6 linked regions of the Cricetulus griseus genome follow. The main gene of each other region encodes a partner of the protein of the gene in region 3 in a complex. Links are inferred from orthologs where the notes say so. Each region holds a gene or a part of one and is shown on either strand. Other genes may lie near its edges.

Region 1 (5,334 bases), on a different chromosome or scaffold from region 3:
AGACTAAATCCATATTCGAGAATCTAAAAATTAGGGAAAGACCGGTTTTCACATATGTTACATGTTAGTTATAAAGAGCAGCAGGCCTTCTGAAAGAGAAAAGGACAGGCCAGCGTGAACTTGAAGTGTGACATCAGAAAAGGCACTAGAAAAAAGGCTGCAGAGATGGTTACAAGCACTGACTGCTTTTCCAGAGGCAGCAGGTTCAATTCCCAGCACCCACATGGTGGCTCACAACCATCTCTCACTACAGCTCCAGGGTATCTTTTTTATTTTATTTTATTTTGTTATTGTTGTTTTTGTTTTTTGGAGACAGGGTTTCCCTGTGATACATTCCTGGAACTCTCTTTGTAGACCAGGGCTGGCCTCGACCTCACTGAGAGCTGACTGCCTCTGCCTCCCAAGTGCTGGGATTAAAGGTCTGCACCACCACCACCTAGCTTAAATTTTCATTAAAGGAGGGCAGTTAACAAGTATCATAACTTACTTTCTAATTAGGCCCAAAGTCACTTTGAAGAGCAGACCATCCTGTCCAATCACACCCATTCCATTGGCCCGTCCACAGCTGTCAATACAGACCATTTCTGGTTCCATGTCTTTATTAGCAACCACACACTGGCCATAGATGAGATCTCCAACCTATAAGACAGAAAAGCAGAAAAGTTCCCTTCATCCAGAAATCCTTTTTTTTTTTTTTTTTTTTTTGGTTTTTTGAGACAGGGTTTCTCTGTGGCTTTGGAGGCTGTCCTGGAACTAGATCTTGTAGACCAGGCTGGTCTCGAACTCAGAGATCTGCCTGCTGCTGCCTCCCAAGTGCTGGGATAAAAGGTGTGCACCAGTACCATCCAGCTCTAGATTTAAAATGTTACAAAACTGAACTTTAAAATGATGAAGCTGAGGAAACAGAATGAATTTCAACATTAAAAATCCCCACTGTTGAGAGCTGGAGAGATGGCTCACGGGTTAAGAGTACTTGATGCTCTTGCAAAGGACCCAGGTTTGGTTCCTAGCACCCTCCTAGCAACTCACAACCATTCATAACTTAAGTTTCAGGGGACCCGACCTTCCTGCCTGACCTCCACAAGCATCAGTCATATAGAGGGCAAATACATACATAGAGCCAAAACACCCTCGATATGCATACATTAATAATATTTAAGTACCCACCATTTTGGGTGACTACAAAACTTAGAGGGAATGAATCATAAGACACTTTATGCCTTTCAAGAACATGTGATCTTCTACAGGGCAACAAGAATGAATAAACTCATGACAAGTTCAAGAATAAATCCAGTACCATGGTAAAGATACAGGAAAAGTGATGATGATGAATGACTTTACATAGTCGTGCTTAGCCTGGATCTCAATGGATGGATGTCTGTCTCATAGGCTGAGAGACTGCAATCCAGACAGAAGAGCACCATTACTAAAGACCCAAAGGAACCAAGTTCAGTGGTGTTGTGAAACTTAAGCATATTAGCATGAAGTGCTAATATGAGGGAAGACCCCTGGGGCACAATGCCAATGAATTCTCTATGATTTGAACATTTTTTTTCCTGTTAAGAAATGGAATATGGGAGCTGGAGAGATAGCTCAGTGGTTAAGAGCACTGGTTGCTCTTCTAGAGGACCTGGGTTCAATTCCCAGCAACCACATAGTGGCTCAAAACCATCTATAGTGGGATCTGATGCTGTGTTCTGGCATAAAGTCAATAGAGCATTCACATATACTTAAATCTTTTTTTAAAAAAATCCACACATATAAAACCTTTAAAAAGGGAATGTCAACATGAGGATATTAACAGATGGAAGCTGGAATGTTAATGAGATTGCTGCCCAGTTTTGTCAAAAATGAGCAAATGCTTGAACTCATAGACACAAAGGGATAAGGCATGCAAAAGACAAGAGATGGAACAAATAAGATCAAATGACTCAAGACCTGTGAGAGTTGAAAGAAAAGTAGCACAGATGCCATCAAATTTCTGGCTCACATGTATCCTCAGGAAGGATACAGCTAAACCAACCAGAAATCCTGTAGTAACAAGATCACTCTTCTGTCAGCTCCAAGGATTCAGAGCCAAGATGAAGAGATAGATGACTGACAGTACCAGTGTCCCTTAGACTAGGGACACTTTCCTTGTGATATGGATATGAACCTCACAGGTAACAAGGGGAAGCAAACATAACCCTTCAACCTGGGAGAGAAGAACCAAGAACACAGCACTGGTTCTGGAGCTGCAGCGCCTAAGGAACTATCTTGGAGAATCTGAAGGATAGTTTATGCTTTGGAGACAAATCAGGAAGTCCTCTGGGCAGCTAAATTTCTGGGGAGTGGCTATTTTTGCCTTATTGTTGAAACCAAAGGCTCCCATCATTACCTGCACATTCGGTCTGTTTCTTTTAGTTGCTCCTTCAAATGCCAGGTAAGACAAAGAAGCTGGCTCACTCCCTCCAACATCAACTTTGAATATATCTCCAGATTTAGCAATCACTATGCCAATCACGTGGTCTCCTTTCACGGGTACGTACTGCAAAACATAATGAAAGAACAACCATAAAAGACTACTGTAACATATATGCAGTAAGTTTTAGCAAGGTTGCTCAGGATGGGTCTCAAACAATCCTCCCAACTCATATTCCTCAGGTAGCTGGGACTACAAAACCGGGCCGCACCAATCCAACTTTGTTGTCTCTAATCCGTAGTTGACCTGAGTCAGGTTTCATACTTCAGCATCTTTTATACATCCGGCGGCACAAGAATCCTTACAGTCAAGGAAACCCACCCATTAGACACTTCTACATGAAAGCTCTTACTCTACGAATAATTTAACTCCCTGTTATTTAGACTCACTGAAACTGGGACTCCACATGGCACGCCTGCGGCTTCCTACTTTCTAGCCCCTTTCTCCTTTCTCCCTTCTCAAGCTGTGTTTCTACTGTGGTTCCTCTAAAGAAGATGCAGAGGGGACCTAGAAGCCACCGCGGCTCTAGGCTGAGCTCATCCTCTCCTCCCCGCTGCAGGGAGTCTTCCCAGAACTGGGATTCCACTATCGCAGCAGCACGGCCTCTCCAACGTCCGCTCACCCGCTTCTGTTGAGAATCCACCCAGTAAACGCCACCGCCGCCTCCTCCGGGCTCCTTGTGGCGCAGGCGGCCACACTTGGTGACCAGCAGGCGGTCCCCGCAGCGTCGTAAACCCGGGCCACACACGACGCGCAGCCGCGGGCGCGCCCCCGAATTCAGACGTAAAGGCTGCTCCCCGGCGCCGCCAAGGCCGTCTACGTCCTCGTGCTCCGGCAGCACCAGCTCCTCCCCAGGGAGAACCACCTGATTCAGCACGTTGTGCGCTACCCGCGCCCGGCAGCCGGCCACCGATTCTTTCCCAACCGACAGTACTTCAGCCATAGCAGGAGTCGTCGCAGCTTCCGGCATTTTACTTCCGCTTCCGCATCCAAGAGCCCGCCCTCCAGGGTTATCCCTTTCCGGTTTTTGTGGGCTTTCTGAAATAGACTTCAGACCGCCAACCAGTCACATCCTCTCTTCGGTACCCCCTCCTCCCCACCCCCAAACACCCGTATCTGAGCTATCAGCCCACCCACCCTGTGGTTTCTCCGCGGGTGGGTGAAAGAGACGCCCAGCTGGAGTTCATTTGGAGCCCTCACATCCCGTGTCAGGTCTTTCGGCTTAGTCTCTACGGGTGCTGGAACTAAGGGCCCCTGGGTATTGGGTTTGGAGGCTTTACTTTCCATTCAGCCTACAGAAAGGTGGCTGAAATTTTAACTGGGAAAAAAGGGTTTGCAAAGTATGACTTGTTTGGACGTTGCTACCAATTTAAATTCTGTAAAATATAAAGAATGGGAGAACAACAATAGGGGCTGGAGAGATGACTTCATGGTTTAGGAGCACTGGCTGTTCTTCCACAGGACCCAGCACCCACAAGGCAGCTCACAGCTGCCTGTAACCCCAGTTCCAGGGGATCTAACACCCTCACACCGATACACATGCAGACAAAATACCAATGCATATGAAATAAAAATCAATTATTAAAAAGAAAGAACAACGGAAGTCTTACTCATTTGTCTCCTTTGCTGTGTTTTCAGCTGTAGTTCCTATCATTTGTACATAATAGATGTAACACTTATGTGTATTACACTCTAGGGCTCCCCCCCCGCCACCCCCACTCCACCCCCGCGCGCAACACATATCACACCTTTTCACCTACTTGAGTTATCTCTACATGGCTTAGGAAAATCAGTAACTCAGAACAATTCTTGCCCCTATTTCTTTTGGAGCACACCAATTGAAGGAAAGCCCGAATGGGGGGGCAGGGGGCTCTCTCCTGGACCGGATTAGAAGCACACACTCCTCAAACACCTATTTCACAGAGAGATCCTTTATTAATCAGGGAAGAAAAATTAAAGTGGCTGCTTTCTGACTCGGGCAGAAAAACAGCAAGTAACTTTGAAGGTGTAGTTTTTAAAAAAAAAAAAAAAAAAAGATTTTATCTATTATGTATACAACATTCTGCTTCCATGTATATCTGCACACCAGAAGAGGGCACCAGATCTCATAACGGATGGTTGTGAGCCACCATGTGGTTGCTGGGAATTGAACTCAGGACCTCTGGAAGAACAGTCAGTACTCTTAACCTCTGAGCCATCTCTCCAGCCTGAAGGTGTAGTTTTTAAGAAGGGAAAAAAGAGGTCTGCATCAAAATAGACTAGGATGCTAGCATATATTTAGATTGGGCATGTTAATTAGGTGAACCAAAGGGGGATTTTGATAGCTGGACTTTGGTAGTCAGTCTCAGAAGGAGAAAGTAGCCAAATGAAGGAATAGACCTTGGGAGTAGCTTTAGGGATGTGATCTAACGGTTTTTAGCAAGGCAGAAGGAATGGGGTGGGGGGAGGATAAAGCTTGCCACAGCCATGCTTGCCATACTTGAGATGGTCAGAGTCCTTTCACTAACAGCGAGATAAAAAACTGTTAAATCCCAGACCCACACACAATTCAGGAACTTAAGAACTTAAAGTTTTCTGGCTTTGGAGTTATCTGAAACAAGCATTTCTCTCAGTTGGTATCTTCAATGAGTATTTTATTCAATTCTCCAGCAGTACAGAGGGCCTTGACCTTGAGCTATGTCAGTTGTTCATTTCTTGCTGCCAACTCCAATTTTTAGATTTGGGGACAGGACAGTCAACAGACTATATTTCCTCCAAATTTGGCAAGATGCTGGCAAGCTGTTTAATCCCTGGGTGTAGTGGACCAATGAAAGGACAACTTGTGCTGCAGTCAGCTTGTTAGACAGTTAGGGAGTGGGCCATGGCTAGGTAGC
Region 2 (4,944 bases), on a different chromosome or scaffold from region 3:
TGGTATACTACCACTGGCTAAACCGAGGTGAGTGGAGTACAAAGTGAAAAGCATATTGCTTTTGTCCAACCACAAGGCACCTGCATAGTGGGCAGAAGACAAAGAGGTGGATGAAGGCAGTTTGTCTAAATGGTGCAGAGGTAAGGATAGATGGCCAAGAGGCAACCAGAGCTTGTTATTATTTTAGAGTCCAAGTGGTAGAAATGGCCCAAGAAGATTCCTGAGGAAAGATTTCAGGCCAGTGGTTCTCAACCTTCCTAATGCTTCAACCCTTTAATGCAGTTTTTCATGCCCAACCATTCATAAACATAGTTTTGCTGTTATGAAGTTTAATGTAAATATCTGAAATGCAGGATATCTGATATTTGTCCCCCAAAGGGTTGAGACTCTCATGTTGAGAACTGCTACATTAGTCTAGCCTTACACCTCTATGATAGGCAAGCATAGCCAGTTGAGTTCTACCTCAGCCTTGTGCAAAGGTCCCAGATGGGCTGGATGAACATGGCATATTCCTTAGTGTGAGGGCTTAAATACTCTTTTTTTTTTTTTTTTTTTTTTCCGATTTTTTCAAGTCAGGGTTTCTCTGTGTAGCTTTGGAGCCTATCCTGGCCCTTGCTCTGGAGACCAGGCTGGCCTCGAACTCACAGAGATCTGCCTGCCTCTGCCTCCCAAATATTGGGGTTAAAGGTATGCGCCACCAACGCACGGTGGGCTTAAGCACTCTTGCTCTTCCTAGCACAGGTAGGGGCATTGCTACATACTCTGCTTTGCAGGGCTCTGAGCTGCTCTGTATAATAAGGTGTGTATAGCAGAGGAACAGGCCTTTATTTTGGATATGGGTGGTTGGCACTCAGTCCCCCAGTAAGATAGAGGCCTCCTGCACATGCTGCCGGACTACACGATCCAGCAGAGTGTGCACATCTCTGGCTGCTTGGGCAGCAGCCTCTAGAACCTGCTCCAAGTGGTCTTCATGCAGCCTTGAATCCATCTCAAGCAGTGCAATCTGGCCTGAGGCTGGCAATAGGGCCAGGGCTAGCTGGGGACCTCCAGCTGCTTCCTCCACATGGCTGAGGTCCGACAGTGCTGTGCCATCCACAAAGCCAGCTGAGCATGCACATACAAAGTCCCGCATGGGTATCCCAGCATCCATCACTGCCAGCGTGGCTGCATTTACACATGCTGCATAGGTTCCACCATCTGCCTGCAGTACCTGAAGGGGCATCAGGACATGAGACTCACATCTCAACCTTCAGCATGTCAGGCCCACCTCATACAGCCACCCCACCCCCACCCCCGAGCCCACCCACTCCTGGTGGTGGAGGGGTTTGAAGCTGCAGCTAGCTCACCTGCACATAGATGTCAATCTGAGAGCGTGGGTGCAGCTGTGTGAGGATGGCTGCCTCAAAGGTCTGGCGTAGTTGCAGCCCCATCTCACAAGACTTACGGTCCCCATGAGGCCTTCGCTTGCGCTCACCAGTGCTGAAGGTTGCTGAACTATACTGACAGTTCACTAGAGCCCGGTCAGGCAAGGCTCGAGACCTGGAACCCCGGATCTGGAGGAGAAATGAACACAGGTGTCAGGCCTACCTCCTGGGTCACACTCAACCCACAGGACTCAACCTTTCTCCTCCTCTTCCTCTAGTGCTTCAGAAAACAGCGGCTACCTGGCTTCCAAATCAAATCCTAGCTGGAGGGAGGCTTTTCAGACTAAACCATAAGTTACCTTTGGCAGGCAACTCTTTGTTCTACAGTAGCTCCATTTCCTCCCAAATTATTCCCATTGTGGCCACCACATTTACAAACATCTGGTCCGTGTCACCTATACACTAATAATTTACCTATCTACCAGGGGCTCCCCATTACATGTAAAACAAAGTCTCAGTTTCCCGACTTTCAAAGTCTTGGGTCCACCCCCTTGGTAACTACTCAACTTTACTTGATCTACTGCCTCTCTACCTACCAATAGTCGGCCCTGATGTGTTCTATACCCGACTATCACCCTGCCTTCCGCCTAGAAAGCTGAACTCTCATATACCAACCAAACTGTAAAATGTGCGTGTTTTGCTGGCCTTGACACAGCACTGAGACACAGCAATAAAGGTAGACAATTACATCGAGAGTCCCTGTATTGGGAATTTATGTTCCAGTAGAGAAAGAAGCGACGCGGAAGACTCAGTAAAACCGATGTAGTTAGTAAGCGCAGACAGGCAAATAGTGTTGCAGTGGCCTGGGGAGCTTCTTCCCGCCAAGAAGTCAGAATAATGAGCTGAGAAAAGGGGGAGTGAGTGGAGCTTCGCCAGGCCGGCTGAGGCACCTCAGAGACTATGAGGGCCCACTGGCGGGAGGAACCCGCGCCCGGTCTCTTACTCGCCTCGTGAGGCCCGTAGACCACCGCCAACGCCTTGGTGTTGCCCTGCTCGATATAAGCCGAGCCGTCGGCCTGCGCAAACACGCCCATACGCGCTTGGATCTTGCGCAGCTCGCCCGCGCGCCGACCGTCTATCCGGTAACCCTGGTCGGACAGGAGCTCCAGTCCGGCCATGTTGTACGACCCCAGCTCCGCCTCCCAGAGCACAGCGCTTTAGGACTCCAGCTTCCACGACCCATAGCTTCCGGCGGTCCGTACCTTTTTCGGTCTCGGTAAACTACAGCTTCCGGAGAACTAGTCCCTTTCCGGTCCGATGGAACTACAGCTCCCAGCATTCTCGGCTTTCTAAATGTACGGGTCTGGCCGAGTACAGAAGGCCCGAGCAGAGCGTTTTGCGGCTTCTCCCGGGTCGGTAAAGGAGGAAGGCACTGAAGACGGCCTTCTCCTTCTGGACGTCTTCGGTTTGTTGGAGACTCTCTTCCCAGCGGAGACATTTTTTTGGTCTTTTTTTTTTTTTTTTTTCGAGACAGGGTTTCTCTGTGTAGCTTTGGAGCCTGTCCTGGAACTAGCTCTGGTAGACCAGGCTGGTTTCGAACTCACAGAGATCCTTCCGTCTCTGCCTCCCAAGTGCTGGAATTATAGGCGTGAGACACCACCGCCCGACTTTTTTTTTTTTTAAGATTTATTTATTCTATGTACAAGTGCTCTGTCTGCATGCACTTTATGCCAGAAGAGGGCATCAGACCCCTCTATAGACGGTTGTGTGCCACCATGTGGTTGCTGGGAATTGAACTCAGGAGGAGGAGTAACCAGTGATCTTAACCTTTAAACCATTTCTCCAGCCCTGGTCTTTCTTATTTTTTAGTTGTATATTTTCATTTTTATTGTATGAAATTTCTGTTCGTTTCTTGTTTTTTTGAGACAGGGTTTCTCTGTTTAGCTTTGGAACCTGTCCTGGAACTAGCTCTGTAGACCAGGCTGGCCTTGAACTCACAGCGATCCGCCTGCCTCTGCCTCCCGAGTGCTGGGATTAAAGGCTTACGCCACCAACGCCCAGCTAGCAGCTGCATGGTTGTATAGCAGCTTTTGGAGTTCTAATTCTTTTTTAAGATAGGATCCTTTAGTGTTCACCTTTTTTGGAGTGCTTCAACTCAGAAAATATGAAATCCAATCGTCCTGAGGTCTCTTTGTTGTTGCTTTTTGGAATCTGGATGTGTATCTCAGGTTGTTGTGGTTGCTTTTTTGAGTGTTTAATGTATTTCAGGTTGGCCTTGAACTGGCAGTCTTCCTACCAGAGCCTTTCTAGTGTTGTGATTATGGGTGGGGCCACAACGTCCGGCTTGGATTGTGTTTTTGTTGTCTCCTTCATACCTATGGGGTATATATAGCAGGTTGCATTCCCACCACTTCCTCTTTAACTGCCCCATGTGTCCCAGGGGCTTATAATTAAGTGACACAATTCCTGGCAGAGGGCTTCTGAGTCTGGATTCCAAATGTGTTATCTTTCTCACCCAGGGTAAATAATGATGTTGTGGTGGTTGTTTGTGGTGTGTGTGTGTGTGTGTGTGTGTGTTAAGATAGGGTCTTGCTGTAGCCCCAGCTGGCTTAGAACCCAGAGATCATGCTGTCTCTGCATACTTAGTGCTCCACCACACCTAAAAAAAAAAAAAAAAAAGCTATTTGTGTTCATGCTTGCATGCCGAGTTCAGAACACAACTGTGGAATCAGTTTTCTCTTCCCACCTTTATATGGGTTCTAGAGATTGAATTTAGGTTGTGAAGACTTGGTGGCGAGTGTCTATCCAATGGCCTGTCTCGATGGTTCCTGATGTTGTTGATGTTATAGATAAAAGACAATACAGATGCATAGAAAGGAAACTGGGTTGAAATTACCCTTCAGATGGGCTGTATTAGGAAAGTTATGGCATCATTGTTACAGATTGCAATGATGAGGGAGAATAAACATTCCAATTGTTTGTTGTGGATTAGCAGAGTTAGAACATCACACTAGCCAGGTGTGGGGGTAGCACACGCCTTTAATCCCAGCATTCAGGAGGCACAAGCAGGAGGATCTCTGTGAGTTCAAATCCAGCCTAGTCTACAGATGGAGTTGAGTTCCAGGACAGGCTCCAAAGCTACACAGAGAAACCCTGTCTTGAAAAGCAAACAAACAAAAATCCTGAGGCAATTCAGTATAACCACCTGTGGTAAGGACCAGCAGTACACTAGAAAAACAACCCAATCCAACAGGGACAACAGGTGCTGGGATCACCCTGGGGTGCTGGACAGGGCTTCTGAGGGTCAAGAGCTGAAGGTGGCTCATCCAAGCCGCATCAGCAGGGCTGACTCCTATTCTCTGGTGCTCAGCCATCATGAAAGCACAAACACTGTGATGAGGTTGTTAGGGTCTCTGTGGTAGACTATTTCTCCAGCCCAACACAATATATCCAGCCTATCTGCTTTCTTATAGGAAAATGTTGACAATCCTCTCACTGAGGTGTGGGGTCCATGTCCCCCACACTGGTTTTGTATGTCTTGGGAAGTTCATCTTTGGGACCCAACCATCTTCTCTTCTAA
Region 3 (4,694 bases):
GGTTGTGAAGAACCTGGGATAGGCCACTCCTTAGTGCTGTTCCCACTGACACTCTTTTTGGATGAAGAATTCAATTCCACAGACTTTGAAGATCCCTCGTGGAAGGCCTCACCCTCCCTGGGGAGCAGAAAGGGTATGGGATAGGGTGTTAGGGGCAGGCAGGGGAAGAAGGGAGGGAGAGGGAACCAGGATTGACATGTAAAACAAGCTTGTTTATTTCTAATTTAAATAAAAAATGGAAGAAAAAAATAATTCAATTCCTCATCCTGTGATAGAGTTAGGTGACTCTTTACATGGTCAAAGTCAGTATTCTCAGACCAAAGTGCAGCCACTGGGGATTAGAGGAGGAGAGACTTGCTGAAGATAAACACCGTCACTGGCAGGGCCTGACCCCAGCCCCAAAGCTCTACCCACTGCTCTCCCAGCCCTAAGCTGGGGTCCTGGATGTGAACGGGGAAGACACATGGATAATGAAGGGGTAGGAGGCAGCATGCTGCCCTAAGCAGGCTTGCCCCAGCACCATGGACTTACCTCCATCATCTCAAAGATGCTCTCAGGATCCAGGCTGCCCTTCCCCACCTTCCTCATGCAGGTCACAACTCCCTTGCTGGTCACTGACACTAGCAAGCTGGCCAAGGAGCAGGCCTCCTCCTGAAGTGTGGCATCCACCACATGCCGGCAGCCAATCTGCAAGATCAGGGCTGTTTAACATACATGTGAACAGTAGACCAGAGATCCCAGATCCCCCTGACACAAGCCTACAAAGGCTGTACATGCATGGCTCGTTCCAGATCTTATTTTAAATTCTGCTTGTTTGGAAAATGCTGGAAGGAATGTTCAACATTGTTAATATGGTCCATTGTGTGAATAATATAATAAAAAGACAAAATGTCAACAAGCAGTTTGGGGGCAGAGAGTCCACCAGGACAGAGACCACCAGGCTTTCCCACAGGGAACACAGGCAGGAAATGCATATGTGAGGCCCCACGGCTTCTTGTTCACTCCAACAGTGAATCCAGAAAGCCCAGCTAAGGGACATACAAAATAATGCCACCCTCCAGAGCTCTGTTTAGTCCCAACGCCCTGTGAACATTTCTTTACAATCTCAGTTCTCAAAAAACTTCCAGTGGTATTAAGTGACTGAAATGTGTGATTTTGGTTTTGTTTTGTTTTGAAACAAGGTCTTTGTTGTGCAGCTATGCTGACGAGGTACTTGATATATAGGCTAGGCTGGTCTCAAGCTTGCAGTAGTCCTACTGTCCCCACCTACTGAGTTCTGGAATTATAGACATGAGCCACTGCACCTGGCTCAGCTTCATTTTTATATAACGAGTCTCTTGTGGAATTAGTCACAATCCCAGCCAACACAAGCCTGAGGCTATGCCAGATGTCAGAGTCAGAAAACCTCTGGGCTCCGTGCAAACTATACTTGGCATGTGTCACCTAGGACTGGCCCCAAGCCCTCAGTTCCTGTATGTGGACATCAGGGTCCATAGAGGAATACTGTTTGAGAACCTACCGGTGTTCAGCTACCTTGGACTCTGGAGTACAGGGAGTTAATGGAAAATGAGCAGTGCAATAGAGTGCAGAGCCTGCAGAGGGACCATGACAGCCAGACTGCTAATGAAGCAGCCTTCCCTTGGGACTCGTCTGTACCTAATGGAACCGAATGATGAGATGTGGGTTAAAGCTACATTTGTAGGGTTTGCACAACTACAGCCTCTCAGCTTATGAAGTAATCTCAAGAGCCTAGGGTTGGAAGAGATCCGCCTCCCCACGGAAGGCAAGAATGCTAAGAGACAAGCTCACACCTTGCACAGGGTGACGATGCAGGGCACATTCTCTACACTCAAGCGGATACAGTCGTAAGGATCGTCAGACAGCTCGATGTCCTTTGCCCCCTCTTCATCCTCCAGAACACGAACCCGTGGTATCCTGGGAACAGAGGCATGATTGAAATTTCCATCTCCTGGAAGGAGGAACCATAACCTTTTTTGAGATCAGGAACCGAAATTCTTTTTTGTTTGTTTGTTTTTGTTTTTGTTTTTTCGAGACAGGGGTTCTCTGTGTAGCTTTGGAGGCTGTCCTGGAACTAGCTCTGTAGACCAGGCTGGCCTCAAACTCACAGAGATCCACCCACCTCTGCCTCCCGAGTGCTGGGATTAAAGGCGTGCGCCACCAACACCCAGCGAAATTCTTTTTTTATAAGCAGGAATTTCGTTAACTCCACCTTGTTTACATCCTCGCTACCTGTCAAAAGTTGAGGCTAGAGCTTCTGTGTCAGGGACTCAGAGTGCTAAGTGTGACATCCTCAGAGTGCTCATTGTGACATCCTCAGAGTGCTCTAAGTGTGACATCCTCAGAGTGCTCTAAGTGTGACATTCTCAGAGTGCTCTAAGTGTGACATCCTCAGAGTGCTAAGCGTGACATCCTCAGAGTGCTCAGTGTGACATCCTCAGAGTGCTCATTGTGACATCCTCAGAGTGCTCATTGTGACATCCTCAGAGTGCTCAGTGTGACATCCTCAGAGTGCTCATTGTGACATCCTCAGAGTGCTCAGTGTGACATCCTCAGAGTGCTCTAAGTGTGACATCCTCAGAGTGCTCTAAGTGTGACATCCTCAGAGTGCTCAGTGTGACATCCTCAGAGTGCTCATTGTGACATCCTCAGAGTGCTCATTGTAACATCCTCAGAGTGCTCATTGTGACATCCTCAGAGTGCTCAGTGTGACATCCTCAGAGTGCTCATTGTGACATCCTCAGAGTGCTCAGTGTGACATCCTCAGAGTGCTCTAAGTGTGACATCCTCAGAGTGCTCTAAGTGTGACATCCTCAGAGTGCTCATTGTGACATCCTCAGAGTGCTCATTGTGACATCCTCAGAGTGCTCATTGTGACATCCTCAGAGTGCTAAGTGTGACATCCTCAGAGTGCTCATTGTGACATCCTCAGAGTGCTTATTGTGACATCCTTAGTGTGCTCAGTGTGACATCCTCAGAGTGCTAAGTGTGACATCCTCAGAGTGCTCATTGTGACATCCTCAGAGTGCTCTAAGTGTGACATCCTCAGAGTGCTCTAAGTGTGACATCCTCAGAGTGCTCTAAGTGTGACATCCTCAGAGTGCTCATTGTGACATCCTCAGAGTGCTCATTGTGACATCCTCAGAGTGCTCATTGTGACATCCTCAGAGTGCTAAGTGTGACATCCTCAGAGTGCTCATTGTGACATCCTCAGAGTGCTCTAAGTGTGACATCCTCAGAGTGCTCTAAGTGTGACATCCTCAGAGTGCTCTAAGTGTGACATCCTCAGAGTGCTCATTGTGACATCCTCAGAGTGCTCATTGTGACATCCTCAGAGTGCTCATTGTGACATCCTCAGAGTGCTCAGTGTGACATCCTCAGAGTGCTCAGTGTGACATCCTCAGAGTGCTCATTGTGACATCTTCAGAGTGCTTATTGTGACATCCTTAGTGTGCTCAGTGTGACATCCTCAGAGTGCTAAGTGTGACATCCTCAGAGTGCTCAGTGTGACATCCTCAGAGTACTAAGTGTGACATCCTCCTTGAAGTGGGCAGTAAGCAGTGTGAAACAGGACTGATATGCCAAAATAGACGTCTGTATATTTACACACACACACACACACACACACACACACACACACACACACACACGGGGGGGGGGGGAGTAAGAGGAAGGTGGCTGAGAGAGAGAGAGAGAGAGAGAGAGAGAGAGAGAGAGAGAGAGAGAGAGAGAGAGAAAGAGAGAGAACTTTTAATTTCTTAATTCTTTGGGCCCAACATAGGCAGAGGATTGGGGAAGACAGAGTGGCATCAACTCTTCTGGAGGACTTCAATGTACAAAGTTCTTTCTATCTTCTATCCAAGGGCATCATGGGGTCACTGTTCCTTGCTGCCTGAGAGTGAGACTGATAGCTGTTCGTGATCTGGGTAGCTAGGTTTCACAAGCTGACATCCATTTTCTCAGGACTCCCTCACAGCAAAACAGCTTCCCCAACTCCCTGGCACCCATGCGAACCAGCTAGCCAAGAAGACTCATCTCAGAGGCTAAGCCACTTCTGATGACAACCTTCTTTCCCATTTCCACAAAGCCTGGCTGCTGGTGGTGGTGTGCTCTAGCATGCAAACTCTCATCCTGGTGGAGTGTCTGGACCACCTCTCATAAGGTCTAACACACACACACACACACACACACACACACACACACACACACACACAGCTGGTGGTGGTATACTCTAGCATGCAAACTCTCTTCCTGGTGGAGTGTCTGGACCACCTCTCATAAGGTCTAACACACACACACACACACACACACACACACACACACACACACACACACACACACACACAGATCTGGTGGTGGTGTGCTCTAGCATGCAAACTCTCTTCCTGGTGGAGTGTCTGGACCTCTCAGAGGGTCTAACAGAGTCCAGTGGCACAGGGCACAATCGAGTAGAGGGCACTACAGCTCCTAGTCTCACGAATAATTTATCTTGCAAAAAAAAGTTTAACTTAGTTTTTATTTGTTCTGTAGTCAACATAACAGAAAGGGTCTAAAATCTCTGTGTGTTACACTGACCATAATATGAGCACTGAAAACTAAAGATAGTGACCATTAGAAATGTTCCCAGACATACCAAACACAACAGTCAAAATCAAAGCAGAAGAGCTATCTAACAG
Region 4 (5,463 bases), on a different chromosome or scaffold from region 3:
TGCACACTCCCAGGAGATAGAGGGCCAGGCCCAGAACTTTCCAAGGGTCCACCAACCAGCCACCCAAGGAGGAATACCCAGGAGTGCCCATGTTCCGTGCTACAGGAGTGCCATACTGACCCTGCCAGAGGAGGCCCATCCTACCTTACATAGGGAGAAGCAGTAAAAGGGCCGAAAAACAAGTCCATACAAAGGAGAAATGACGGTGGAGAAGGGAAGAAAGAAACAGAGTCCAAGAAGTAGCTCAAGAGAAGGTGGGTCTGGTCTGTAATCTCAGGACTTGAGACGCTCAGGCAGGGGGATCACAAATTTGAAGGCAGCCTAGGCTACAGGGAGCTCGGTACCAGCCTAGGCAACTTGAGACCTTGTCTCAAAAGGTAAAAGGCTGGTGGCGTGGCCCAGGACTAGAACACCTGCCTGGAGCCCACCAGTGAGGACCCGGGAGGCCTAAGCTTAGCAGAAGAAGGCATGACCAGAATCCACCAGTGAGAGCCCAGAAGTGTGGCTCCCTGGAAGAGCATCAGTCTAGCAGGAGTGAAGCTCTGGATTCCATTCCCAGTACAGCAAGGACTAAAATGAAACAAAGAGCTGGGCAGAGACGGAGGGGAGCGGAGCCTGGACCAAGCAAGCGGCAGGGAGCCCTAACAGACTGCATCTGGGGAGGTTTGGCTGAGTCCAGTTACCAGGCAGCCCGATCTTCGGCCTCAGGATCACTTCGAGTGTGGCCTTGTTGAAGATTTCTTTGCTGACCTTCACCTCGGCTGGCCCGTACACTCCAGCCAGGACAGAGGTGTCACCTGGGGAGACATCAGCAGAGGCCTCTGCCACACCAACTCTCTTCTCTGCCTTCTCATCTGTAACTGGAGACTACTGCAGTCCTTCCCTCGAGGCACTTTTGTCAAGATCACATGACAGTGGCTCACAGAAGCAGTAAGCCCAGTCTCTCAGTGTCACACAACAAGATCAAATAAATACCCATTTTAAAAAGATACAGATACTTGAAACACAGGATGCTGGCCAGTGAGTCCAGAGCCCAGCCCAGACTTCAGCTACTGGTGAGTTTTTAGAAGCAGTTGGGGCTGGAGAGATAGCTCAGCAGGTCGGCACCCACACTGCTCTTCCAGAAGCCTAGAATGCAGTTCCCGGCACCCGCAGGCTGCTCATAATCACCTTGTAACTCAGCTCCAAGGTATGGACACCCTCTTCTGCCCTTCTTGGGCACCCGTACACACAGGCACACACACGTATATCCTCCCAGTGTCTGGGAGGCAGAGACGGGAGGGTCAGGAATTCAAGGTCATCCTTGGCTCCATACTGAGTTCGAGGCCACCCTGAACTACACAAGACTATCTCATAAACCAACCAAAAAGAAATCCATTGTTACATATAATTAATATATACTATTAAAAATATTTTAAAAGGCCTTACAAAAAACAAACAAAAAAGGGTCTGTAGTTGCGTTGGGTAGGGATCTTAATCTCTGCTCATTTTCCCAGAATGGCATAAATGGGTCTGGAGGAAAAAAAGCCTGGCTTCTAGCCCTGATTGCCTATTCCAGGCCCTTGTGTGATTTTGATAACCTCTGTGGGCTACAGAGAAGCCATCTACAAAGTGAAGACACTGCACTCAAACAGTGGTTTCCACATGATTTTGACCGTAATGCCCAATGACCAATACACTCTATACCACAACTCCAAACTGGTAAATGCATGTGTATAAGTGAATCACAGGTGGGCTGGAGAGATGGCTCAGCAATTAAGAGCACTTGTCGCTCTTGTAGAAGACGATTCACAAAGGTTTGTAACCACAGTTCCAGGGGACCCAACATACTCTTCCGACCTCCTCAGGCACCAGGGAGAGCCATAAAACAAACAAACAAACAAAAACAAAACAACAAAACCCAAGGGGTTAGGGATGCTAGCATGTGCAAAGTCCAAAGGGAAAAACAAAACAAAAAAACAAGATGGCTAGCCAACAAAGGCAGGTGACAGGCTCATGGGCTCTGTAGGTTTTCACTGTTGGATTTTCTGGGATCAGGCCCTAGACAGTCTAAGCTGGCCTTGAACCTGCTATGTAGCTGAGTGAACCTGGCCTTGCCTCTACCTCCCTGGGGAACGTACCCCATTTTTATGAATCCTGTTTTTAAGTGAAGATACTACGCTGGCTAGTTTTGTCAACTCAGCACAAGTTAGACAGATCTGAAAGGTGGGAATCTCAACTGAGGAACTGCCTCCATCAGACTGGCCTGTAGGGTAGTCTGCTGGGGCATCTTTTTTTTTTTTTTTTGGTTTTTCGAGACAGGGTTTCTCTGTGTAGCTTTGGAGGCTGTCCTGGAACTCGCTCTGGAGACCAGGCTGGCCTAGAACTCACAGAGATCCGCCTGCCTCTGCCTCTGCCTCCCAAGTGCTGGTATTTAAAGGTGTGCGGCACCAACGCCCGGCCCAATCTGTCTACTTTTGATAGCTCCTCACACTCCCACGACCTCTCAAAGCTGGCTGACCGGCATTGGGTGGAGGCAGGGTTGTGTGGGTGTCAGTCGTGAGACGCCTCTTTTCTCTCTACAATCACTTACACTGATGAGATGAATACACCAAGCAACAGACACATTTACTCAAATGATGGGATGGGAGAAGGGGAGATACCTGTGGGTCCAGAATGGGGATCATCACGTTCAATGTGAAGGGCATTCGCGTGGACCAAGTCATCTGCTGCTGTCACCGCACTTGACCCAGCGGCGATGACAAGTCCTTCTCAAAGGGAATGCATGCAAACGAACACCTTAGCCTCAACCGGAGGTGTACCGATCCAGGAGAAGTGTGTGGAAGGAAATCTAGTCAAGGGGCCTATTCGCCTTGGTGAAATTACACCTGTTCTGGAATATCCACTCTTCCTAGGGCGTGCTCTTGCCCCTGATTCCTTCCAGGCTGGACGTATCAAATATTTTTTTGGTTGTTTTTTCGAGTCGGGGAAGAGGTGTGGACCCCTCCTACGTATCTAGAAATAGTTTTTTCGTTTCTTTTCAAAGAGATGGGCGCACTCGGTTGCACACTACACGGTAACCGCTCTTCCAAAAAAAAAAAAAAAAAAAGAAAAGAAAACAAACCCCACCAGGCGTTGGTGGCGCTCGCCTTTAATCCCAGCACTCGGGAGGCAGAGGCAGGCGGATCTCTGTGAGTTCGAGGCCAGCCTGGTCTCCAGAGCGAGTGCCAGGATAGGCTCCAAAGCTACACAGAGAAACCCTGTCCCCCCCAAAATCCCAAAAACCAAGAAACCCAAGCCCCCCACAGTGGGGCTGGGGATCAGGCTCTTTTTACCTTGCAGGAAAGAAGCAGATCCATCCGGCCGGGACAGCAGGTTCTGTTCGCAGGCGAAATGCCGGAGGCTGCAGCCGGGACTCCGCGGGCCGGGCTCCGCGGCGGTGCCAGCGCCCAGCTCGGCGTCCGCACGCTTCGCGATCTCCATCGCCGCCGAGCACGCGCGCCCCGCCTGCGGCCGTAGCTTCCGCCCCCGTGGTGCGCACGCGCGCGCTGGCTCGCTCGCTCGCTCGCGGGCTCGCCGGCTCGCGGGCCCGGCTCGCAGCGGCTGCGTGGCCGCTGCGCATGCGCCAGCCTGGGCGGCGCCTGACTCGTCCCTGGCACGTGGCTGAGCGTTTACTAACAATCTGGTCCCGCCCCGCCTCCGCCTCCCGATTCTCGCAAAGCCATTGGGCCAGAAAGGAGAGGGGGCGGGTCTTGGAATAGGCCCACCTCGCCCAAGGCCCCCCGGCCCTCAACCCGTGAGCCTGTGGTCAGGGTGTCCCTTTCCTGCCTGATATCGGAGCCGCTATAAGCGGAAGGCTAGAGCCACGGCGGAGGATAATCAGAATCGGCACGCGCACTTAGGTTCGTGTCTTGGACTCACGGCGGTGGGAGTGAAGTCGCTTGTTGGCCCGACCGTGCCGGCATTTGAGGACGGCATCTGGTGGGGCAGCCCCGGGTCCAGCTGGGGAGAGAGGAGGCGTGGCTATCGAGCGAGATGGCGGCGGCGATGTGGAGACAGAGCCGGGGCCTGGCTGCTCTCCTGTCGCTGCGGCGGCCTGGGGCGCGGGGCTTGGCTAGATCCGTAAGTACCTGGGCCCCACGGGGTCCCTCCCGAGGTGGCTGCGGACGCAGAGGTTGCTCTTACGGTGTGTGCGGGTCGTGAAGGAAAGAAAAGGACGCGGACGCTCCTTGGAGAGAAGAGTCAGGGGAAGAGGGAGAAAACCGGGGGTGGGGTGGGCCAGGATCAGCCCCACGTTTCTTTATTCCGTTACTTAAAACTCCACTTGTGAAGCTGGGTGAGCAAGAAGCTGATTGGACCCCTGCGGTCCCCGATCAGAAGCGAAGGCGGGGGCCCGGGCGCGATCACTGTCACAGGCCATCGGGGTATGTTGGTTGATGTCATGAAGGGAGAAATCCACACAGGACCCTTTGTCAACGTTGTTTTTTAAAAATTATTCCTTTTTTTGTAGATTTTATTTATTATATATACAGCATTCTGCCTCCACATATGCCTGTTGCCAGAAGAGGGCACCAGATCTCATTACGGATGGCTGTGAGCCACCATGTGGTTGCTGGGAACTGAACTCGGGCCTCTGGAAGAGCAGTCGGTGCTCTTCACCTCTGAGCCATCTCTCTCCAGCCCATATTTTTTTTAAAAGATTTTATTTATTTATTATGTATACAATATTCTGCTTCCATGTATCTCTGCACACCAGAAGAGGGCATCAGATCTCATAATAGATGGCTATGAGCCACCATGTGGTTGCTGGGAACTGAACTCAGGACCTCTGGAAGAGCAGTCGGTCTCTCTCCAGCCCCTGTCAATGTTATTTTTTAAGGCAGGATCTCACTGAGTAGTCCAAGATGGCCTTTAACTAACACACTCCGAGTCCCACCCAGACTGGCATGGCACTAGAGACAGTCCTGTCTCAATCTCCCACCTGGAGATCCACTTTTCTTGAAAACACTTGAGGAAACTCGAGAGTCCCTTTTGATACATTGTTGCTGAGGGCAGGTATGGAGGTCTGGTGCTGTAGCTAAGTGACAGAGTGCTTGCCCAGCGTGTGCTACAACCAGAATTTGACTCCTAACCTCATGTGCTCTGGGTATGGTCAGGCATGACTAATCCCAGCACTTGTTGGGTAGAGCCAGGAAGGTCAGGAATTTGAGGTCAGTCTGAGCTATATGAGACCCTGACTCAAAAAAAAAAAAAAAAAACCCTAAAAGATTGAAAAAAGAAATCAAGTGCCTGGGGTGGAGATGCAGGATTTTGATCCTAGCACTTAAGAGGTAGAGACAGGTGGATCTACTGTGAGTTCTAGGCCAGCCTGGTCTACGTAGAGTTCCAGGTTAGCCAGAGCTACACAGTGAGATCATCTCTTAATAAATGAAAGGTCTTAGCTGGGCAGTAGTGGAGCACGCCTTTAAACCCACCACTCGGAAG
Region 5 (4,355 bases), on a different chromosome or scaffold from region 3:
ATGACCTGACATGAAGTTATCCCACAGGCCCTGAATGAAGCTTTGAAGCTGTTCAAGACTCATTCTCCTCAGACGTCTGCAATGCTCTTCACAGTGGACAACGAGGCTGGCAAGATCACATGCTTGTGTCAGGTTCCCCAGGTCAGAACTCCCTATAGCCTCACTCTAGATCAGCTAAGCCATGGTGACGCACACCTTTAATCCCAGCACTCAGGCAGAGGCAGGCAGATTTTGAGTTTGAGGCCAGCCTGGTCTATAGAGCAAGTTCCAGGACATAAGGGGCGGAAAAAGCCTACAAACTCCTTTGCCAATGGGAAGCACTGTCTGTATCTTCTCAGAGAGGGGTTCTTTGTAGTATTTGCCAAGACACTGTGTATGTGTATGTGTCCCAAGGCCTTCCTGTTGGTAGATGTGTTAACTACTGGCTGGTGCCTGGCATTGCTTTTTGTTCTCACCTTGACAGTGGCCATAGCTGCTCCCCTGTCGCAGCTGTAGAGTCAGTCTTGGCCTCTGGTAGCATCACCCAGGATATGAGTCGTGTTGGTGGCTCCCCTCCTTGTGGTGTCCCTCTGTTCCCCATCTCAATCCCATGTTCTATTCTAACTACCATTTCCCCTTCCTGTCTTCTAGAATGCAGCCAACCGAGGCCTAAAAGCCAGCGAATGGGTGCAGCAGGTTTCAGGCCTGATGGATGGTAAAGGAGGTGGCAAGGATGTGTCTGCCCAGGCCACAGGCAAGAACGTGGGCTGCCTCCAGGAAGCCTTGCAGCTGGCTACCTCCTTTGCCCAGCTCCGCCTGGGAGATGTGAAGAACTGACAGGAGAGAAGCCCTCACTGGGAAGCGTTTCCCCATCAAACAAATGTGTCAGAATGCAGGAGTGCACCCAGGAGCTCCCCTGCCATGAAGACATTTGAGTCTTGGGACCTTTCAGTCGCCCTATCCGTCCTAATCCAGCAGTAACTGGAACATACCTGGAGCTGTCCTGTGACTTATTGCCCCTTTCCGTTACTGCTCTGAGCCATACTGTCAGCACCATCTGTCTAGAATCACTACCCCAGGAATGCTGTTGAACATCACCGTGATCATGTCTAGATAAGACCACTCTGCCGACCTGAGGCTTCTAGGTCATCTGCAGGTAGGAAGCCTTTTTGTTGCAGAAAATAAAAAGGACCATGTGCAATACTTGATAAATGCATTCTACTTTTTCTCCCCGGGGTGGACCCTGACTCCCTGTATGTCTGCAGAATACAGGCTGCAGTTCCAGCTAGTTTCTGATTGAAATGATCACAGAATACATCCCTAGACCCCTGAACTTTAGGAGTGGCCCCTGGGATGGCAGAGACATAATGGAAGGGCTGAATTGAGGCATTCAATAGAGTGGGGAAGGTTTCTACAGAAATTCTCAAGTGGAAAAACACCTTTCTCAGTCTCTTGGGACAACCTCTTAATGCCTTGGACCATGTATGTCTCATCTCTACCTCCTTTTGAAGTTGCTGATATGAGGTCAGAAAACTAATATAGGAAGTATAAGCATGGAGGTGTCTGTCTCCCAGTAACTGTCCTATCTGTGTTTCTTAACCTAAAGTAGTTCAAGCCTGGCCCAGCCTAAAATGTAATTAGTCTGAGTCTACAAACAGCAGAGTCTGGAAGCAGTAGTGTGTGGGAGGTAGAGATGTTGCCTGCTCATGCCAGTTCCTCAGGGTGTTAGAAATGTACATATATGCGTGCGTGCGTGCGTGCGTGCGTGCGTGCGTGCGTGTGTGTGTCTGTGTACACACAGTATAGGAAGAGAAATTTCCATCAGTTTATTAAACAAGTGTTGAAGCCAGCTGGGGGACTGAGTACAGGAGTGAACAAAAAGCCCTGATGTTGTGCAAGTTTATGTAAAAAAAGAAAGTGTAAATGCAAAATTCAAGAAATAACCTTAACAGGTTAAGAGTCATTAAGATCAGGCCAGGTCACAGCGCGGGCCAAGTCCAGCTGTACCTCCTCCACACCTCTAGGTGGCAGTGCATCCACCTACCGCTCTCCCGACAGGCTGCGCGCGGGCGCGCCTGTTTTAAGTAAGCGGAAGAGCCGGTGCGCAAGGTAGCCCAGCAGGCGGAAGTGGCTCGTGCGCCGGTAGCCGCCATGCCGGGAGACCACCGTCGTATCCGCGGGCCGGAGGAGTCTCAGCCGCCGCAGCTGTACGCGGCCGACGAAGACGAGCTGCCTGCTGCCCGCGACCCGACGCGGCTACGGCCGGTGTACGCGCGCGCCGGGCTGCTGAGCCAGGCCAAGGGCTCGGCCTACCTGGAGGCCGGAGGCACCAAGGTGCTTTGCGCCGTGTCGGGCCCGCGCCAGGCCGAGGGCGGCGAGCGCGGCGGCGGCCCTGCGGGAGCGGGCGGCGAGGCTCCGGCCGCCCTCCGTGGCCGCCTGCTCTGTGACTTCCGCCGCGCGCCCTTCTCCGGCCCCCGGCGTCGCGCCCCCCAGGGCGGCGGCGAGGAGCGCGAGCTGAGTCTGGCGCTGCAGGAGGCTCTGGAGCCCGCGGTGCGCCTGGGGCGCTACCCTCGCGCCCAGCTCGAGGTGTCCGCGCTGCTGCTGGAGGACGGCGGCTCTGCGCTGGCCGCGGCTCTCACGGCCGCGGCGCTCGCCCTGGCCGACGCGGGAGTGGAGATGTATGATTTGGTAGTGGGCTGCGGCCTGAGCCTCGCACCGGGACCCTCGCCCACTTGGCTGCTGGACCCCACGCGGCTCGAGGAGGAGCACTCCGCAGCCGGCCTCACGGTGGCGCTCATGCCGGTGCTCAATCAGGTGGCCGGGTTGCTGGGCAGCGGGGAAGGCGGCCAGACTGAGAGTTGGACGGACGCGGTGCGCCTGGGCCTGGAAGGCTGCCAGCGCCTCTACCCAGTGCTGCAGCAGTGCTTGGTGCGAGCTGCCCGCCGGAGGGGCGCCGCCGCCCCGTCCTGATTGGAAAACCCGAGCAACAAGGATGCGGATGACTGCTGATGTCCTTCTTTCCCAAACGGCCCGGCTGCTGGTCGCCTGCCTTGGCCGAGCTGAGAAACGAGAGTGGGAGGCAGCGCGCACTGAACCGAAGCGCTGGACAGCTGTGTTGGAACGGTTTAAAGGGCCTTAGCAGCCTTACTCCCAAGTTGGAAAGGACTTCGGCTGGATTACCTGGTAAATGAGCTGTGTTCTTGTAAGGGATGGACCCTGTGCAGGCCAGCCATTGGCTCCAGTGTATGATAAACTGCTTCTTTTGAGAGGATGGACAAGGGACTTTGCCTTCTCACTACCCGAACTAAAACATAAAAACCTTTTTTATACCTGAAAATACATCTTGTGGCTTTTCTTGGTACTACAGTTAGAAACAATGCCGTTTTGAACTGGGCATGTGTTGAGTCTGTATTGCCAGTATTGACTGTATTGTCAGTACTATCTTAAATTTTCCTGTCTCTTAGCTCACTGTAAGTGAAAAGGAGTAACGTGCTTTAGAGGAGAAACCTCCTGCCCTAGGAGCAGTGTCTGAGGTGAAAAGACCGAGGAGATGTCAGAACAGCCAGAGCTACACAGAGAAACCCTGTCTCCGACAAAACGACAGGAGAGTTAAATAGCCTCAGAAATCTGGGTGCACACCTATCCTCTCCTTTGAAGCACAAGATCATGTCTAGGAGTTGGGTAACTGGAAAGGATTATGCTCTAGAAAGAAGCCCTGTCACTCCCTTCTTTGGCCAGTAGGGTAGCATAACTGGAGGTTTCCATGACTTTGCAGAAGTGATAGTGCAGACCTTTAAAACCCAGCACTGGTGGGGCAGAGGCAGGTGGATCTCTGAGTTCTAGGGCAGCCAGAGCTACATAGAGAAACCCTGTTGCAAAAAAGGAAAAAAGAAAAAAAAAAGTGGAGTCCTGGTCTGGCTTCATTATATGGTGTCTCCTGTCCAGTCTTGGCTAGGGCAGCAATGAACTACGAGGAGGAAGAACTCCTAAAAACTGTGGCACATTTACAGCCTGGCTATTCCTTAGGCAGAGCTGGCTTTACTGACCAGGAGTGTAGGGTTCCTGATCTTCACTGAGGCTGAGTTGAAGGCAGCTGTGTATGACTGTTACAGGTAACTATCCTAGAGGTCTGTTCAGCCTCTTATGAGGACCTCATAGGAGCCCCTGACCAGGAGGGAGAAATACATTTTTATTTTTTTCCCTTCTGGCATGACTCTTTGTAGAGCAAATCTGAAGTTAGTATACCAGTGAAAATCAAGATTAAAAAAAAATGACATAAAACTTATCTGCTTATTTTGAAGAGTAGCTTATGGCTTTGTAGGGCACATTGTGGTGGCTTTAACCAAAAGGGGCTGGTTAGGTAGGTACACACATAA
Region 6 (5,327 bases), on a different chromosome or scaffold from region 3:
AATGTAGTTGTGATCACTGGTTAAGGTAAGGACTGCTGACCCTTTGGAAATTTATAAACAATTGACCAAGTGAGTCTTCAAGAGGGAGACAACCAGATTTGGCTTAATTTTCTTTAGGGACCCATTTGAGTAGAGAACTATGTTGCTGATTCTGTGAGGTTGAAATTCAATGTGCTGAGGCAGGGTATGGTGGTGCAGAGGCAGAAGCAGGGACAGAGGGACAGAGGGGCAGAGGGGCAGAGGGGCAGAGGGGCAGAGGGGCAGAGGGGCAGAGACAGAGTCAGGCAGCTCTCTGTGAGTTCAAGGCCAGCTTGGTCTACCTAGCAAGTTTAGGCTAGATAGGGCTACATAGATAGACTTTGTCTAAAAACAAACAACAAAAGACAAATTCAGTAAGCCTCAAACCTCGAAGCACCAGGGGAAATGGGGGTTAGTGAATGGTGAGGAGAAGGGCCCAGGGAAATGCCTCTGTTAAACAGAAGGCTCAAGTAAAGCCACAGGAGACAGCTGTCTTATTTTCCATTCACTACTGAACAACCGATCAGAGAGCAATCAGCTAGATATGTGAGTATAAGCAAAGATCTTTGTGTTGTGTGTACACATGGCCTCCCTACCAAATACACTTTCCTTGCCACACGTGGCTGGCTTTCACAACAGTCATCTTCCAAAAGAAATACTCTCTATACTCACTCAGAAGAGGTCCTTACTAAACTACAGTGAGAGCCATGGGGGCAAATAGGCAAGGACCCAAATCAGCACCTAAGGGGCAGCTCTAACATAGAATACAAAGCCCATTAAGAACAGTATTCAAAATGCTCTACCTTCTGCTCAGGCGGTGTTTTCTGTAAATCTTGCCTCCAAGTCCTGATCTCTAGCCTATAAAACACTAGACTGTAGTGGTTTAGAGTTGGATGGAAAAGCTTGAGGTTCATCTCTCAATCTCCACACTTGGCCAACAATAAATAGAATGATGAATATGGAAAAGTTTGGGCAAAAATGTATACTACAGCTTGTCATGATGGTTCACACTTGTAATCCCAGCACTTGGGAGGTGGAGGAGGAGGAGAAGAAGATCAAGAATATCCTGGGTTATACAGCCAGTTTGAGATCATCCTGGACTACATGAGACCCTGTCTCAAAAAAAAAAAAAAAAAAAAAAAACTAAACCCAGGGCTGGAGAGATGGTTCAATGGTTAAGAGCATTGCGTGCACTTTCTGAGGACCTGGTTTTGATTCCCAACATCCACAATTCGGCTTACAAACATCCGTAGCTACAGTTTCAAGGTATCTGATACTCTTTTTTGGCCTCTGTGGGCACCAGACACTCATGTACAAAGGCATACATATAGGCAAAACTCTTATATACATAAAACAACAAACCAATCAAAATCGAAAACCACCACCACCACCAGCAGCAGCAGCAGCAGCAGCAGCAGCAGCAGCAGCAGCAGCAGCAGCAACAAAAACTCAACCTATTCAAACCTGTGTAATCCTAGCTCTTGGAAAGTGGAGGCATAAGATCAGGAATTCAGCAGGGTTATCCTCGACTACACAGAGTTTGAGGCCAGTCATACACGGGACCCTTTCTCAAAATAAAACAAACAAAAAACCAAAACCAGCATCCCGACGCCAAATCAGATCAACATCATACTCCACTACAACGAGATAACTTATTATTCCACAGGTGCTTCCTTGCCAGTAGTAAAAATGGCAGCTTGGTGCCCTCCTCCCTCCCTCAGGTTAACTTAATAGTTGCCAATAGTCAAAATGGCCGCTACACCATGCATTTCTATTGGTCGCCGCTCTGAAGGTGGGCGGAAGTTGCTGCGCCGAGACTAGAGAATAGAGCTGCGCCTGCGCAAGTCATTGGCGCCAAGATGGCGATGGAGATGAGGCTTCCTAAGGCTCGCAAACCTCTCAGTGAGAGCCTGGGCCGCGACTCTAAGAAACACTTGGTTGTACCGGGGGACACGATCACCACGGATACAGGATTCATGCGGTACGTGAGGATTTGGGGGACCCAAGGCCCCAGGAGGCGGCTGCGGAGCTCTGCACGTGGCCTCCTGTCCCCTGGTATCTAAGTTACCGAGTTACCCGGGTCACATCCAGCACCCACAGTAACCCTCTCCTTTCCGAGCCTCGTGCTTCTGACTCCCTTCTTCTTGGGTGAACCTGTTTCAGCCCATGTTTCCCTCTGATCTATGGCGTCCGAAACTTTTGAGTCCTCAGTCTGAAGCAAGGTTTTTGAGCTTTCCTGGGGAGGGTTAACTGTGGAGGCTGGGAGCGGGACCATTCTTAGAGCCCCCTGCAGGGACAGTGGGCGTTGCTGGTTTGGTCACCTCCCTCGGTGTCACCTCAGCAAGGAGGCTGGTTTTAAAGCAGTGATTGGGGTCCGGGGGTTGAGCCAACATACAGTGCTTGAAAGGCAGACATCGTGTGGTAGTTAGGGTAAACTCTGGAGCTGGACAACTGCCATCATTATTGTTATCAGTAGCAGTAGCACCTTGCTAAATTTGGTATCCTTACCCTGAAGACAGTGGTGACGACCGCAGTTGGTAGGGTAGTGAGGAACTGGAGAGGAAGGCAGAAAAGCAAAATCCACCATTGGATTACCACCAAAGATAAATCTGTGTTAGGTAGCCAGTCTCTCCCCTCTCACTCTGAGAAACGGTCTCACTATGAAACACTACTGGCTGTTTTGGAACTTAACTGTGTAGACCACTCTGGCCTGGAACTCAGAGATCCCCCTGCTTTTTCCTTCCAAGTTTTGGGCTCAAATATGTGGCTACCACACCTGGTTCTCCTTCCCTTCCTTTCCCCTTCCCTTTCTTTTTTTTTTTTTTTTGGTATAAATGAGGTTAAAGTGTTTATAACATTGCCTGTAAGCTTTAAGGTTGAGATTAATGGATAGTAGAGATCTTAGGATTCATTCCGTCATACTTTCAACATATCTTGTGTGGTTGAGGTACAAAAGTGAAAACCTGTGCCCAGGTGGTATTTATAATTTATCTAGCAATGAGACAGAAACAAGAAATGCCATTAGAAAGTTTTAACTGCAGGGGCTGGAGAGATGGCTCAGTGGTTAAGAGCACTAGCTGCTCTTCCAGAGGACCTGGGTTCAATTCCCAGCACCCACATGGCAGCTTGTAACTGTCTGTATCTACAGTTCTGGGGGATCTGACACCTTCATACCACTGCACATAAAATAAAGTTAAATAAATTATATATATATATATATATATATATATAATATATATATATATATATATGGGAGTTTTAACTGCAGTGGATCAGGGGAGCAGCTGGGAAGAGGGTGGGTGAGACAGCAGTGGGAAGAGCTCCTGTGTTGCCTGGGAGGAAGGTTGTTGGAAAGTGACATCTGAGTTGACCTGTTTAGGTTGAAGGAGATGCCGTGTAGCTCTGAGGAGTGCATCAGGCTCAGGGCAGGAGGAGCCTGTTAGCTTCAAGAAAGTTCTTCTAGATGGGAGAGGTCACCTCCAGTATGACATGGTATTTTTTCTTTGGTCTTGTCCTTCAACAGGGGCCATGGAACATACATGGGAGAGGAGAAGCTCATTGCGTCTGTGGCTGGCTCTGTGGAGAGAGTGAACAAGCTGATCTGTGTGAAAGCCTTGAAAACCAGGTGAGCACGGAAGGAATGGAGCTCTTTCTTAGAGCATCTGGGTTGCACACAGGTCTCTTCCATCTCCCCACACTCCACAATCTGGCCTGTTACGGGCCTGCTGTGTTGAATTCAGCTGTTTGTCATAGTTAGCTTCAGCTGCCAACTTGACATAAATCTAGAGTTAACTTGGTAAGCAGGAACCTAAACGGAAGAATTGACTTCATCAGATTGGTCTGTGGGCATGTCTGTTGGGAAAGCCCAGTCCATCCCTGGGCAGGTGGGCCTGGGGAGTGTAAGGATGCTGGTTGAGGGCTGTTTTCCAGTCTGGATGTCTGTTTCCTTCATACATTTTAAGGTGCCATTAGTAGAATTTGTGCTGAGCTTATCCCAGAGTGTGACCGGAATCAAGGTTGATAGTGCAAGGTTTTGGCCTAAGCGTGGGAGGTTGGGTGTGTGTGTGTGTGTTGTGTGTGTGTGTGTGTGTGTGTGTGTGTGTGTGTGTGTGTGTGTGTGTGTGTGTGTGTGTGTGTGTGTGTGTGTGTGTGTGTGTGTGTGTGTGTGTGTGTGTGTGTGTGTGTGTGTGTGTGTGTGTGTGTGTGTGTGTGTGTGTGTGTGTGTGTGTGTGTGTGTGTGTGTGTGTGTGTGTGTGTGTGTGTGTGTGTGTGTGTGTGTGTGTGTGTGTGTGTGTGTGTGTGTGTGTGTGTGTGTGTGTGTGTGTGTGTGTGTGTGTGTGTGTGTGTGTGTGTGTGTGTGTGTGTGTGTGTGTGTGTGTGTGTGTGTGTGTGTGTGTGTGTGTGTGTGTGTGTGTGTGTGTGTGTGTGTGTGTGTGTGTGTGTGTGTGTGTGTGTGTGTGTGTGTGTGTGTGTGTGTGTGTGTGTGTGTGTGTGTGTGTGTGTGTGTGTGTGTGTGTGTGTGTGTGTGTGTGTGTGTGTGTGTGTGTGTGTGTGTGTGTGTGTGTGTGTGTGTGTGTGTGTGTGTGTGTGTGTGTGTGTGTGTGTGTGTGTGTGTGTGTGTGTGTGTGTGTGTGTGTGTGTGTGTGTGTGTGTGTGTGTGTGTGTGTGTGTGTGTGTGTGTGTGTGTGTGTGTGTGTGTGTGTGTGTGTGTGTGTGTGTGTGTGTGTGTGTGTGTGTGTGTGTGTGTGTGTGTGTGTGTGTGTGTGTGTGTGTGTGTGTGTGTGTGTGTGTGTGTGTGTGTGTGTGTGTGTGTGTGTGTGTGTGTGTGTGTGTGTGTGTGTGTGTGTGTGTGTGTGTGTGTGTGTGTGTGTGTGTGTGTGTGTGTGTGTGTGTGTGTGTGTGTGTGTGTGTGTGTGTGTGTGTGTGTGTGTGTGTGTGTGTGTGTGTGTGTGTGTGTGTGTGTGTGTGTGTGTGTGTGTGTGTGTGTGTGTGTGTGTGTGTGTGTGTGTGTGTGTGTGTGTGTGTGTGTGTGTGTGTGTGTGTGTGTGTGTGTGTGTGTGTGTGTGTGTGTGTGTGTGTGTGTGTGTGTGTGTGTGTGTGTGTGTGTGTGTGTGTGTGTGTGTGTGTGTGTGTGTGTGTGTGTGTGTGTGTGTGTGTGTGTGTGTGTGTGTGTGTGTGTGTGTGTGTGTGTGTGTGTGTGTGTGTGTGTGTGTGTGTGTGTGTGTGTGTGTGTGTGTGTGTGTGTGTGTGTGTGTGTGTGTGTGTGTGTGTGTGTGTGTGTGTGTGTGTGTGTGTGTGTGTGTGTGTGT

What was found.
Region 1: Exosc7 (region 3) and Exosc3 share a complex: the UniProt entries of both Homo sapiens proteins name them as parts of the RNA exosome core complex. The link is inferred for Cricetulus griseus from reciprocal best matches to the Homo sapiens genes EXOSC7 and EXOSC3.
Region 2: Exosc7 (region 3) and Exosc4 share a complex: the UniProt entries of both Homo sapiens proteins name them as parts of the RNA exosome core complex. The link is inferred for Cricetulus griseus from reciprocal best matches to the Homo sapiens genes EXOSC7 and EXOSC4.
Region 4: Exosc7 (region 3) and Exosc5 share a complex: the UniProt entries of both Homo sapiens proteins name them as parts of the RNA exosome core complex. The link is inferred for Cricetulus griseus from reciprocal best matches to the Homo sapiens genes EXOSC7 and EXOSC5.
Region 5: Exosc7 (region 3) and Exosc6 share a complex: the UniProt entries of both Homo sapiens proteins name them as parts of the RNA exosome core complex. The link is inferred for Cricetulus griseus from reciprocal best matches to the Homo sapiens genes EXOSC7 and EXOSC6.
Region 6: Exosc7 (region 3) and Exosc2 share a complex: the UniProt entries of both Homo sapiens proteins name them as parts of the RNA exosome core complex. The link is inferred for Cricetulus griseus from reciprocal best matches to the Homo sapiens genes EXOSC7 and EXOSC2.

The regions. Positions count from the first base shown.
Region 1 is NC_048595.1:98,137,923-98,143,256, reverse strand, and holds the start of Exosc3 (exosome complex component RRP40), read right to left. Parts: upstream 3,441-5,334; 5' UTR 3,432-3,440; coding exon 3,084-3,431; intron 2,528-3,083; coding exon 2,378-2,527; intron 640-2,377; coding exon 488-639; intron 1-487. UniProt on the Homo sapiens protein: Non-catalytic component of the RNA exosome complex which has 3'->5' exoribonuclease activity and participates in a multitude of cellular RNA processing and degradation events.
Region 2 is NC_048595.1:373,625,380-373,630,323, reverse strand, and holds Exosc4 (exosome complex component RRP41), read right to left. Parts: upstream 2,625-4,944; 5' UTR 2,543-2,624; coding exon 2,372-2,542; intron 1,554-2,371; coding exon 1,347-1,553; intron 1,211-1,346; coding exon 851-1,210; 3' UTR 805-850; downstream 1-804. UniProt on the Homo sapiens protein: Non-catalytic component of the RNA exosome complex which has 3'->5' exoribonuclease activity and participates in a multitude of cellular RNA processing and degradation events.
Region 3 is NC_048597.1:230,058,433-230,063,126, reverse strand, and holds part of Exosc7 (exosome complex component RRP42), read right to left. Parts: intron 1,936-4,694; coding exon 1,812-1,935; intron 688-1,811; coding exon 532-687; intron 1-531. UniProt on the Homo sapiens protein: Non-catalytic component of the RNA exosome complex which has 3'->5' exoribonuclease activity and participates in a multitude of cellular RNA processing and degradation events.
Region 4 is NC_048602.1:9,460,194-9,465,656, forward strand, and holds the start of Exosc5 (exosome complex component RRP46), read right to left. Parts: upstream 3,511-5,463; 5' UTR 3,463-3,510; coding exon 3,315-3,462; intron 798-3,314; coding exon 684-797; intron 1-683. Other genes in the region: Bckdha (2-oxoisovalerate dehydrogenase subunit alpha, mitochondrial), read left to right, coding at 4,015-4,101. UniProt on the Homo sapiens protein: Non-catalytic component of the RNA exosome complex which has 3'->5' exoribonuclease activity and participates in a multitude of cellular RNA processing and degradation events.
Region 5 is NC_048596.1:187,461,082-187,465,436, forward strand, and holds Exosc6 (exosome complex component MTR3), read left to right. Parts: upstream 1-2,054; 5' UTR 2,055-2,130; coding exon 2,131-2,949; 3' UTR 2,950-3,373; downstream 3,374-4,355. Other genes in the region: Aars1 (alanine--tRNA ligase, cytoplasmic), read left to right, coding at 28-141, 631-816. UniProt on the Homo sapiens protein: Non-catalytic component of the RNA exosome complex which has 3'->5' exoribonuclease activity and participates in a multitude of cellular RNA processing and degradation events.
Region 6 is NC_048599.1:143,391,487-143,396,813, forward strand, and holds the start of Exosc2 (exosome complex component RRP4), read left to right. Parts: upstream 1-1,852; 5' UTR 1,853-1,877; coding exon 1,878-1,999; intron 2,000-3,541; coding exon 3,542-3,643; intron 3,644-5,327. UniProt on the Homo sapiens protein: Non-catalytic component of the RNA exosome complex which has 3'->5' exoribonuclease activity and participates in a multitude of cellular RNA processing and degradation events.